Mus musculus: one gene and its partner. The protein of the gene in region 2 purifies or fractionates together with the protein of the main gene of each other region. This does not show direct contact. Links are inferred from orthologs where the notes say so. Each region holds a gene or a part of one and is shown on either strand. Other genes may lie near its edges.

The links.
Region 1: the proteins of Dnaja1 (region 2) and Endog purify together in Homo sapiens (affinity purification with mass spectrometry; 3 studies listed by BioGRID and IntAct, counting the BioPlex papers as one, with this or other methods). This does not show direct contact. The link is inferred for Mus musculus from reciprocal best matches to the Homo sapiens genes DNAJA1 and ENDOG.

Annotation. Positions count from the first base shown.
Region 1 is NC_000068.7:30,169,274-30,175,268, forward strand, and holds Endog (endonuclease G, mitochondrial precursor), read left to right. Parts: upstream 1-2,250; 5' UTR 2,251-2,301; coding exon 2,302-2,793; intron 2,794-3,568; coding exon 3,569-3,678; intron 3,679-3,787; exon of another isoform or gene 3,788-4,171; intron 4,172-4,172; exon of another isoform or gene 4,173-4,417; coding exon 4,418-4,700; 3' UTR 4,701-4,796; downstream 4,797-5,995. Other genes in the region: Spout1 (putative methyltransferase C9orf114 homolog), read right to left, coding at 4,820-4,912, 5,649-5,796, 5,914-5,995. UniProt on the Homo sapiens protein: Endonuclease that preferentially catalyzes the cleavage of double-stranded 5-hydroxymethylcytosine (5hmC)-modified DNA.
Region 2 is NC_000070.6:40,720,018-40,726,119, forward strand, and holds the start of Dnaja1 (dnaJ homolog subfamily A member 1), read left to right. Parts: upstream 1-2,450; 5' UTR 2,451-2,616; exon of another isoform or gene 2,617-2,824; intron 2,825-2,899; exon of another isoform or gene 2,900-3,119; intron 3,120-3,685; 5' UTR 3,686-3,695; coding exon 3,696-3,827; intron 3,828-3,955; coding exon 3,956-4,133; intron 4,134-6,087; coding exon 6,088-6,102.

The DNA of each region.
Region 1 (5,995 bases), on a different chromosome or scaffold from region 2:
ATGTTCACGAAATATAACTGTGGTTTTTTTGTTTTTTTTTTTTTTGGTTGGTTGGTTTTTTTGTTTTGTTTTTTGTTTTTGCTGTTGTTGTTGTTTTGAGACAGGGTTTCTCTGTATAGCCCTGGCTGTCCTGGAACTCACTTTGTAGACCAGGCTGGCCTGGAACTCAGGAATCTGCCTGTCTCTGCCTCCCGAGTGCTGGGATTAAAGGCATGTGCCGCCACCGCCCGGCTATAACAGTGTTTTTAGAGAAACCAAAGTTGTAGGCTTTAGAGATGGCTCAGAGGTTAAGAGCACTGACTTCTCTTCCAGAGGCCTTGAGTTAAATTCCCAGCAACCACATGGTGGCTCACAACCATCTGTAATGGAATCTGATGCCCTTTTTCAGTGTGTCTGAAGACAGTGTACTCACATATATAAAACAAATAAATCTTTTTAAAAGAAAAAAAAAGAAAAGAAAAGAAAAGAAAGCAAGCAAAATTCTGGTCACTTGAGCTGAATCCTTCACCTTAGAACTGCAGAGGCTGCACAGTTCAGAATATAATGGGTCCCGAGAACTGAAGCTATAGGACATTGTGAGCTGCCTGTCACTTAACTTGGGTTCTCTGCAAGAGTTGAATATGCTCTTTAAAAAACAAAATTATGGGGCTGGTGAGATGGCTCAGGTGGGTAAGAGCACCCGACTGCTCTTCCGAAGGTCCAGAGTTCAAATCCCAGCAACCACATGGTGGCTCACAACCATCTGTAACAAGATCTGACTCCCTCTTCTGGAGTGTCTGAAGACAGCTACAATGTACTTACATATAATAAATAAATAAATCTTTAAAAAACAAAACAAAACAAAATTATGTTGTCTATATAGGTGTTTGCCTACAAATCCTTTGGTGTTACAGATGGTTGTGAGCCACCATATAGGTGCTGGGAACTGAACCTGGGTCCATTGCTAGACCAACATGTGCTCTGAACTGCTGCACCATGTCTCCAGTCTACAACTTTGTCTTTTTTTTTTCATTTTTTCAACAGTCTGTGGTGACATACACCTTAAATTCCAGCACTTAGGAGGCAGAGGGAGGCGGATCTCTGAGTTCGAGGCCAGCCTGGTCTACAGAGTGAGTTCCAGGCCAGCCAGGACTACACAGAGAAACCCTGTCTAAAAAAATCCAACCAAGCAAACAAGCCCAAGTTTCATCATAACATGTTCACACATGTACACGGTATTTGTATGATTTCCCTCCATTGCCTTCTTACCCATCAACACCTGCAGATGCCCTATTTCCCAATGTATCTTAAAAGAAAAAAAATTATTATTCAGGCTAGAGAGATGGTTCAGATGTTAAGAGCACTGGCTATTCTTCCAGAGGTCCTGAGTTCAATTCCCAGCAACCACATGGTGGCTCATAACCATCCATAATGAAGTCTGGTGCCCTTTTCTGGACTGCAGGTATCGTGCAGGCAGAACATTGTATATGTAATATATAAATAAATCCTTTTACAAAAAGAATTATTCTATGGATATGAATACACTGTCTTCAGACACACCAGAAGAGGGCATCTGATCCCATTACAGATGGTTGTGAACCATCACGTGGTTGCTAGGAACTGAACTCAGGACCTCTGGAAGAGCTCTTAACCCCTCAGCCATCCCCCCAGCCATCCCCCAATTATCTTTTAATGTATAATTGGTTTTGTCCCATGCTAATGAGTGTGGCTCTGACTGTACACTCTCAGCCCTATTTTCTTCAGTTTTTATGTATCGGTCTTCCTCCGTCTTAATAGGTTGTAAGGAAGTTGATGTCTTAAAATATTCATAAGTTAAATACTATTCCATCTGAAATGTAGGAAATATCTTTAGCCAGCCCCTGACCTACGGACAGGAAACATTGGCCAACACAACATACTTCCCAGGCCAAACCCTTTAAGTGGGTTGAAAAGTATGACCCTAGCATAGCTATTTTCTCTAACCTTATATAGCAAGCTTAGGTTCCAGGCGGCTATCAATAGCTACACCTGCATTCTTCTGTTAATCAATCTAGAGAAATCCTTCGCTCGTTTGGTGGCAGGAGGGTGGGTGCACCTGAGGGGTCTGACAGATCTGGGGTTCTGTCCTGTTTAAAAGCAGGGCCATGTGAGGTGTACATGGCGAGGCGGAGCCCGACGTGGAACGACCAATGGCAAGCGAGTAGGGCGGCACCAGGACCCAGCTACGTCTTAAAAGGGCAGCTGAAGGGCGTCGGGGGCCACGCCAGCACAGGCTCCTTCACTCTGTGCTAACATCAGTAGCGTCCTTGTCCTCCGGTAGGCATGCGCGCGCTGCGGGCCGGCCTGACCCTAGCGCTGGGCGCGGGGCTGGGCGCCGCGGCAGAGCATTGGCGGCGGCGGGAGGGCAAAGCGCCGGGGCTGCTGGGCCGAGTGCCATTGTTGCCGGTGGTCGCGGCCGATCTTCCCGCGCTGCCGGGGGGACCGGCGGGCGGCACCGGGGAACTGGCCAAGTACGGGCTGCCCGGCGTGGCGCAGCTCCGGAGCCGCGAGTCCTACGTGCTTAGCTACGACCCGCGCACGCGCGGTGCGCTCTGGGTGTTGGAGCAGCTGAGGCCAGAGCGGCTCCGTGGCGACGGGGACCGTAGCGCCTGCGACTTCCGCGAGGATGACTCTGTGCACGCGTACCACCGCGCCACCAATGCGGACTACCGCGGCAGTGGCTTTGACCGCGGCCATTTGGCCGCCGCCGCCAACCACCGCTGGAGTCAGCGGGCCATGGACGACACCTTCTACCTGAGCAACGTAGCGCCTCAGGTAGTCTCGGACCCTGGTCGCCCGCCCGACTGCAGCGTCTAGATCTTACTTTACACGTGCACCGTGGCGGGAGGGAGGAATCTTACAGTGGCACTGCAGAATCCGGGGTTTATCCTTCTTCAGCCTCCCGTGGGAAGCAGTGCACCAAGTAGTGACGGGCTGCAGCAATGCCTGTCAGCAAGCCACCCAGTGTGCTTCCTCAGGGAACCCGGGAGCTTGACTCCTCAGTCTACCCTGCTGGCCTAGGGCCAGTCAGGCCTCCAGGGCACACTGTTAGCACTGCACCTGCTCCCAGCAGGGTCTTGATTGTGAAGTAGGTTCCTGGGACATCCACCCAGTGGATGGAGATGGACAGGAGACCATATCCCACCCCACACCTTTTGTTGCTCGATTTTCCAGGCTGCCCAGGAACTCAAGAGATCTGCCTGCCTCTGCCTCCTGAGTGCTGGGATTAAAGGTGCACACCAGCACTGTCCAGTCCCCGTGCCTTTAGAGCTTGACCTAAGGTTTGGGAGTTCCAAGAGACCTTGGGGGTCTCTGAATGACTAATGTCCCCTCCTTCCTCCTTCCCTTGAGATGGGGAAAGCTTAGAGCATTGGAGTGCCAGGAATGGAGTGTGGCTAGCACTGGCTCAAAAACTGTAGTCACAGAGCCGTAAGGAGGGAGCCCTTCTTTGAGCCCTTGTCCTTCAAATGTTTGGGCATTGACATTAAGAGCTGGGGCATGCCTAATGGAAGGTCCGAGGTGTGCTCCTGAGCCTCGCTTCTCCCACCAGGTGCCACACCTCAACCAGAATGCCTGGAACAACCTTGAGAGGTACAGCCGCAGCTTGACGCGAACTTACCAAAATGTCTATGTCTGCACGGGGCCGCTTTTCCTGCCCAGGTAAGCCTGTAGCTGACGGGGCCTCCGACTCCTGTTCTCCAACCTTGGGCTTTCTGTGTCACTGTAGCCAGAGACCTTTGGGTGGCCTAGAACTCTGCTGTGCCCTCAGGTGCCTGGCCCCACACCTGCCTTTGCTCCCCACGTCTGACCTGCCTTACCACCTGTAACCCGTGGCTGCACGGGAGGCTGTCACCCTTGCCTCTGACGTGCTAAGGATTCCTGGCAGACAAATGAGCTGAGCTCCTCGGGAGGGCACAGAAAGCAGCAGCAGCAGCAGCAGCAGCAGCAGCAGCACGGGCTGCAGCACGGGCTGCAGGAGGCAGCGGCTGCTGCGGAAACCAGAAGCTACAGGCATCCACTACAGGCCATCTGGCGTGGCGCGGTGTGACGCCACCCGAGCACCAGGCTGGGGCTGGGGTTCCCCAGCATGGCCTCCCACTCGTGCTTGTTAGGTGTACTGCCTACGGGACAGGTTACAGTCACGTGAGCATAGGTGAGCATCAGGGTCTAGAGAGCTCATTCCTCTAGCTGCGTTTATTGCCTCCCATTCTGTCTGAAGCAGTATTGGGCAGAAAAGCAGAGGTTAAGCATTGGTCCCCACCTTACATAGTTCCCAGACCCAAGGAGGCACCAGGCCCAGCACAAACTTCTTGCTTGTTGGAAGTTAGGAAGGCTTCCTGGAAGAGGTGACCTTGTATGTAACCAGGCCTCTTGGCCATGCGCCCGGGTCTATCCACAGGACCGAGGCTGATGGGAAGTCCTATGTGAAGTACCAGGTTATTGGGAAGAACCACGTGGCAGTGCCCACACACTTCTTCAAGGTGCTGATCCTGGAGGCAGCCGGTGGGCAGATCGAGCTACGTTCCTACGTGATGCCCAATGCCCCCGTGGATGAGACCATCCCTCTGGAGCGGTTCCTGGTGCCCATCGAGAGCATCGAGCGGGCCTCGGGATTGCTCTTCGTGCCCAATATTCTGGCTCGAGCTGGAAACCTCAAGGCTATCACTGCTGGCAGCAAGTGATGGTGGAGGACTCACTGGAGCCCCTGGGGAGATGGGCTGACTCACATTAAAGGCAGTTATTTTTGGAGAGAAGACTTGACCATCTCTACTCCCATGATCCTCCTGTCCTGCTGCTTCCTCTACATCCTGGGTCCAGAAAGCGGGGAGGCGGGCCTCGATCCCACCTGGGTGAGACCAGGCTGCAGAGCAGCCAGCGAGATGAGTATGGCCTCCTGGAAGAAAAGAAGTTGGTTGGGACCAGGAAGCCAGGCAGCCTTCCCAGCTGCTTGTTTTCAGGCCCCATGTGAGACCTACCTCAGGGTCAGGAGGGATACTGGTGGAACAGTAATTAGTGATATGGGCAAGACTTCAGAGACAGGGAGACTGGGGCTGCCCGTCTGCATAGTCACTGCCCCTGAGGCTGACAGCAACAGAGCCTCCCCCATAATATCCACAGGCACTGAATCCCATGCTAGTCTCCAGGATGGGTGCATAGATCCTGTGGATGCTCAGAGCTTGTGGCACACTTTCCCCCAACACCCAGAGGGACCTAGGATACAACCAAGGAAGCGGAAGCAAGAAGCCCTGCAGAGGGACAGACAGACAGATCACCTGGGTCCCTCAACCTAAGAACACAGGGCTACCACAGGGCACAGGGCCAGGACTGCAACTCTTAATTGCTCTTGTGTTCAGTCCCTGCTACTAGTTGGCTGTGGTAAAGATCCCAGCTTCAGAAAAGCTCTTTAGGCTGGGGCTGGAGAGATGGGTTAGGAGTACTGGCTGCTCTCCGGGAAGTCTTGAGTTCAATTCTCAGAATCCACATAACAGTTCATAACTATTGACACCTGTAGTCTCATGGGATCCGATGCCCTCTCCTCATGTGCACAAGCACACGCAGACAAAACATTCATAAGTAAATTTTAGAAAAGGCACGCAAGGTGGGCTGCAAGAACTCGGGCTGCGGCTCACCTCGGTGCGGATGGTACGGCTGCCCTGGCTAAGGCATGTGTTGACATAGAAGTCGAAGAGGACACTGGGGTCAGCCACTTCAAGGTTCGGGTCAGCATCCACTGCAGCTTCTAGCCCTTGGAGGCCTCCAAACACCACAAGGGCATGCCTGGGACCCAGAGAGGGGGACACTGACTTCAAGGCTCCACTGGATGCAGGCTCCAGAGCTTTAAGTCCCTAACCCTCTGTAGAGCAGGGCCCAGTTCCTATTCTAGACAGCACACACCTGAAGCTGGGCAGCTGGGCAGAGGCCACGTCGGAGCCACGTTCTGATGTCCCAATGGTCAGGTCGTACCCATCCTGGAAGG
Region 2 (6,102 bases):
TATGCGAGACTGAAAAAACACAAAAGAAAAATAAAGTTTGTATGAGTACCTAAAGCTGTATTTGAAGATCTTCAGCACTTCACCATAAAACATTGGAAACCACTGAAACATTCAATAGAGATCAGGCAAACCACATCAAAAAATAACAAGGCTGATTTATTTACCCCAACAAAATAATCCGTTGTAAACAACACATGCAAGATAGTTTTCTTTTTTCTTCTTGCAGTCCTAGGAATCATACCTAGGGCCTTGAACAGAATAAGAAGCACTCATTCTATGTGTTATATTCCCACTCCAAAGACGGTGTCACACCTAACTCAAGTGATCTTGAGTTCACTAGCCTCCTGGTTCTGCTTCCTAGTTCTGAATTTTCAGAACTACCAAACTAAGCTAAGATCTCATTTCCACACAAAATTATCACATATGAAGTTGCTGGTAATTTTCGAGGTTTTTTGTTTGATTTGTTTTGAGACAGGGTCTTTCTTACTCTGTAGCTTTGGCTGCCCTGGAACCTGCTATGTAGACTGGCCTGGCCTCTATATTAGAGATCTGCCTACCTCTGCCTTCAGAGTGCTGGGATTAAAGGCAGACTTTATCAGCCTAGTCCTGCAATTTTGGTTGGTTGGTTGGATGGTTTTGGTTTGGTTTTTTGTTTTTAATTCTGGTTTTTAATCTCATTACGAGTTAAGTTCCTTGAGAGTAGGGGCCATGGCTTACAAGAGTTTTGTATTGGCAAGGCCTAGAGTATGCCTGGCATAGTAGATATTTTACTCAAAAGTGTTGGCTTAAAGCAGTAGTTCTCAAACCTGTGGGTTTTGATCCCTTCGGAAAACCTTTGGCACATATTTATATTACAATTCACAGCAGTAACAACATTGCAGTTATGAAGAAGCAATGAAAATAATTTTATGGTTGGGGGACACCACAACATGAGGAGCTGTAATAAAGGGTCGCAGCGTTAGGAAGGTAAAGAGCCCCTGCTTTAAAGACGTAACCTATTGATAGATGTGATATCTGAGAGGGTAACACGTAAGCTGAGAAAAGATGTTTCTCAACCAAAACCACAGCACATCATCAAAAAGTCTGTAAGGGAAGTGGCGTAGCTTTAGTGACCACAACAGAGTTTAGTGAAAGCAGTAACGGTGGAGAGGCAGGACAGCTCAAGGTAGAAATCCCAAAATCCGGAGGTTTTTAAGACCACGAGCTAAAGATGTCTTTGGGTAGGTTTGAAGACAGCCTTTCCAGCTCCCTTAGCTCTGGCTACATCCAATTACCTGTGATCTCCATAAAGCACTGAGACAGCCGCTCAGCTGGTAACGCACTGAAGACTTGAGTTGCCCGTGCAAAGGTACGAGAGAACTACAATGGTCCACAAGCCTAGAAACACACAATAAAACGAACATTTAAAGAATCTCATCCCACACTCTGCACTTCCATTAGGAAGTGTGCTTAACTGCTTCTTGTTCACCTGCTGACCTGTATTTTGTGATTTCTCTTATAAGTTTTTAGCTTGTTCCACTTCCAACGAAAGTCCAAGCAAGAGGCCCCGCGGTTAAGAGCATGTACCACCCTTCACAACTGCTCAGAGACAGGAGATTTCAGAATTTGAAGCCAGACTTAAGACTCCATGCCTCTGGCTTCCTTGGGCACCTACACACACACACACACACAGAGGATTCAAAATAAATCTTTAAAATATGTGAACTCTTTCAAGCTTACACCTCCACTTCTTTGATGTATCTATTGTGTTAGTGAATAAGAAAAACATTCACTCTGTCCTTTGAAAGCTTAAGATTCAACTTTGCCAACTATAGATTTTTGAGTCACCAACTGGAAATAAAAACGGTCAGAGAATTAAAACAATAAGCTAAAGCAATTAATTTTGCTTTTGGCCGCTCCTCTGCGGCCAAACTGGGTGGAAGACCATGACCCTCCGTTAGCATGAGGCATTCTAAATGTTTTCCTGTTTGGTGAAGTCCCAGATTCCCTCCGCCCAAGTCGTCAGAGCCAAAAGGATCTGAAGCCTGGGCCAGGCTCGTCCAAAAAGCTCTGACATAAGTGCGCTTGGGTGAAACCAAAGCCTGCGAGGCTGGTTTAGGGAGTAGGCCCGCCTTGCTCAGCATTTCTTGCCCGCAAGGCTCAGAGCTAAGGAGCTGGAGCTGCAGAAAATCAGACTCGCAGCCAGGGCTGGGTTCCACCAATCCCCTTCAGCACAGCGCGCACAACGCCTGAAGCACTCGTCCCCGGCTTACGGGCTCTGGGACATGACCTCTCCACCTCAAGACTTCCGCACTCTGGTTCCTCGCAATAAGAAAAAAAGCCTCTAGAAAATTCTACGAGGCTCGGGAACCCGGGCTTGAGTCCACCCCCACAAGGCCCTTGGGCGCAGCCACTTCCCGCCCCCGCGCCGTTGCCCAGGTAACCGAGGGGCGGTGGCAGCGGCGAGGGGCGGGACTTCCGGCAAGTGACGCGCCGGGGCTCGGCTACAAAAGAGGTCGGCTGCGGCGGGCCGGGCGGAACTTTCCAGAACGCTCGGTGGGTGGTGGAGGAGCAGCGTGTGGCTGAGCTGCGCTGTGCTCCGCTCCTTTCCGCTCTCCGGCGCCGGCCCGCTCACCGGTGAGTCTCCGGCCTCCCTCGGTCGCGGCGTGCGGTCTGGACCCCAGACAGCCGGGGAAGGCGCAGCCGGAGGCGGTTGGTCCCGCGTGGGCGGGGACTGCGGGTTCCTTGAGCCGGCCTCGGGCTTCGGAAGGCTGCCGGGAATGCCCGGCGCCCTGCCCGCCCGCACGCCTCGAGGAGGTCCAAGGCCCAAGCCAATTGGCCTCCCGCCTCATGCTCCTTGCTGCGTACCCCCGCGCTCCGCCGCCCGGGCCGGGTGGGCAGCGCTGCGCACGCGCGGAGCAAGGCAGGGGTGAGGGGCTGCGGGAGGAGCCGGGCGGAGGCTGCGGCTTGCGCTTCTCCTGGCTCTCCTCCCTCTCTTTGTTGAGGTTCGACCTCCCCCCCCCCTCCGCCTTTTCGATCAGGGTGGGAGGGAGAAAGGAAGGAAGCCTTAACGGTCGGCGCCGGGGGGCCCGGGAAACCCAGAGGGCGAGCCAGCTTCCAGGCCTGCGGGGCGAGAGTGGGTAAGCTGCGAGCGAGCAGGAGCAGGATGGCGACGGGGCCCGGGCACCTGCTCCCTGGAGCCGGTCTCCTAAGCCACTCCTCCACCCCCGGGAGTCCAGTGTCGCTTTCCGGCGAGGGTATGGCCTTTATCAGATGTACAAAGGCAGCGGTAATGTACTAACCAGTGGACGGAACCTATCAGTGCTGCTGTGGGTTACTAGCAAAACCTCTGGGGAAAGGAAACCGGAAGAAGCCAAATAATTCATGTGTTAGTGCAGTAGAGTCTGAACCAGCTGCGAGAGAGGCTTTCCTTCGCGTTCCCTGAAATCTATATTTTAATCTGTTCGAGTTTACAGCTGAATCATATCAGGAATTTTTTTTTACCTTTTAAGACGCGTAGGGAAGGCTGTATTAGTATGAAATAAATGCAAAAGAACAGATTGCTTTAGCTCTGGTAGTTAAAGACTACCCGTTAAGAGCCAGTCGTGGCGCACACCTTTGATCCCAGTGCTCAGGAGGCAGAAGCAGTTGGATCTTTTCTACAAAAGTTTAAAGCTGGTTTAAAATTACCATTTTCTGGTTTCAGGCTGTAAAAAATGGTGAAAGAAACCACTTACTACGATGTTTTGGGGGTAAAACCCAATGCCACCCAGGAAGAATTGAAAAAGGCATATAGAAAATTGGCCTTGAAGTACCACCCTGATAAGAATCCAAATGAAGGGGAAAAGGTAAGGGCACAGGCAAACAGCTCAGCAGCAGTGTTGCAGTGTGTGTATCTTTCTGTTCGTGCCTTAAAGTCTACCGTAGCTGTGCTTTGTAACAGTTGTTTCTAATGGGATGTCCTTTTCTGAAACAGTTTAAACAGATTTCTCAAGCTTATGAAGTTCTTGCTGATTCCAAAAAAAGGGAACTATATGATAAAGGAGGGGAGCAGGCGATTAAAGAGGGCGGAGCAGGTGGTGGTTTTGGCTCACCCATGGATATCTTTGATATGTTCTTTGGAGGAGGAGGAAGAATGCAAAGAGAAAGGAGAGGTAAGAAAAATCTGGCTTACCTGCAGCTAGAACGAAATAACTGCTGCGGAAAAAAAAGACTTGAGAATTTATTCAAATGCTTGTTTACACGTTGGTATGATGTTACACTCTGTCCGTGAACTGTCTTTGACTTCTGGTGTCATTGAGATTTTCTGTAACTAAAAAATAGCTAAGCCAAAAAGCAGGTATAACTAACCCCATAGATTCCCAAACAGTGGGGGTAACAAAGTGTACTAACTTAGGTTTCTAAGCCCTGTCCTCCCTTGGATAATACCACCTGCTCTTAGAACCCAGTGGTAAGTGCAGTGGCCCTTTCTGTTAGAAAAGTAACCCTGAGCAAGCAGAGCCTGAGAAAAGCTCATTGTCTGCAGATAGCTGCTGCTGTTGACTCTTGTTTCAGCTCTGCTAGCTCAGCTTAATGTGTTTAGTGTTTGGCCAAAAGATGTCTATGGGAAGACAGTATTGAAGGGTAAAATAGCACTTTGTTCTCAGTATATATAGTTAATATAAACTAGTTCATAGGCACAGTTCTAGAACAAATAGGCAGGCCATTAAATTTCACTTTGCTCCTTAAAGGGACTTGGAAAAACTGTTTACTATGTTTTTAGAACAATTAACCTGTGGGCCTGAGAAACTGCTCAGTGATTAAGTCAAGAGCATTTGCCATTCCTTGTAGAAGATCCAGGTTCTGTTTCCCACACCCACACTCGATAGCTGGCTCACCACTGCCTGAAACTCCAGCTCCAGGGGACCAGCAGCTGCTTCTTCTGGCCTCTTGGTTTTCACATAAACATATTTAAAAAACCAACCTATAATCGCAGTCGGCCTGCTCAGCCATAAGATGGTATGAGCTACAGAAAGGTAGACTGACTTTGGCTTAGATGAGTTTGAGGGCTTTTGTTAACTGTGCTGCTTTGGAGAATGGACTCCGTCAGTTTCCAGAAGCTTGCTTTTTCCTTTCTGTACTCTGTATAAAGTTGAGAAAGCTCGGACTTTCAATTTGTGAGAACCTACTTGCTTACAAAGTGAAAATGAGAAAGCAGCACAATGTCGTGACTTTAATTTTAACTCCTTACTTAAAGAGTAAGAATATTCGGATATTCAGAAAGGATTGGGACTTTCTTTGGTAATCAGGCAATGCTCGTGGCGGGCCGTGGATAAAGTCCTAGGGGAAGGATCACCAGCTAGGGACTTATTAACCGTTGACAGGTGATTTCATTTCTCTAACCTGGCTGTCCTTATGTGATCTCAACCAACCTACTTCGGCTATGTGGCAATCTTTTGCTCTAGCCAGATATGGGTCTTTAAGATGAGATTAATTTAGAGGGAAAAATTTCTCTGCAGCTGTAGTAGCCACCACACTTAAAATTGTATCTAGTATTGTACATGTAAAATGTGTCCATTGCTACAGAAAGTTCTGTTGGACTGTATAATATATAACAAAAGGCCTGGGAAATTTGAGACAACCAGTGCTAGCCTAGCAATAAAAACTATTGAAACTGAAGTAGAAATTGCTATTTCAGTAGTGTCTCAATATTGGCTTCTCCAGCCAATCTTGATTAGAAAGAATTTACTGTGCTAAAGAATGTTTGGATTAAGTAACTAGCCATGTTGCTTAATAATGCCTAATAAGTAAAACCTTCAAAGGGATCCATGCTTAGCATTGTGAAATGTGCCTGAACATTGAGTGACTTTTAAGGGTAGTATTTTAATTGCTGGATTTCTGAGAGGGCCTCTGTGTTCTTAGGCAGATAGATGAACTGCTCACATAATTTTCCTCATTTATGATTAGATTAGTTTGAAAATCAAGTGATTAGATGAGTGTTGTATATGAGTATAGCTCAAAAAGATGTATAGTTTGAGGCTGGTCTTCCATTATCCTTTGCCATTTTTATAGTGCCTTCAACAAAGAAACGTTACAGATGGGTGTTTAATGAGCAGTGTTTTATTCTAGGTAAAAATGTTGTTC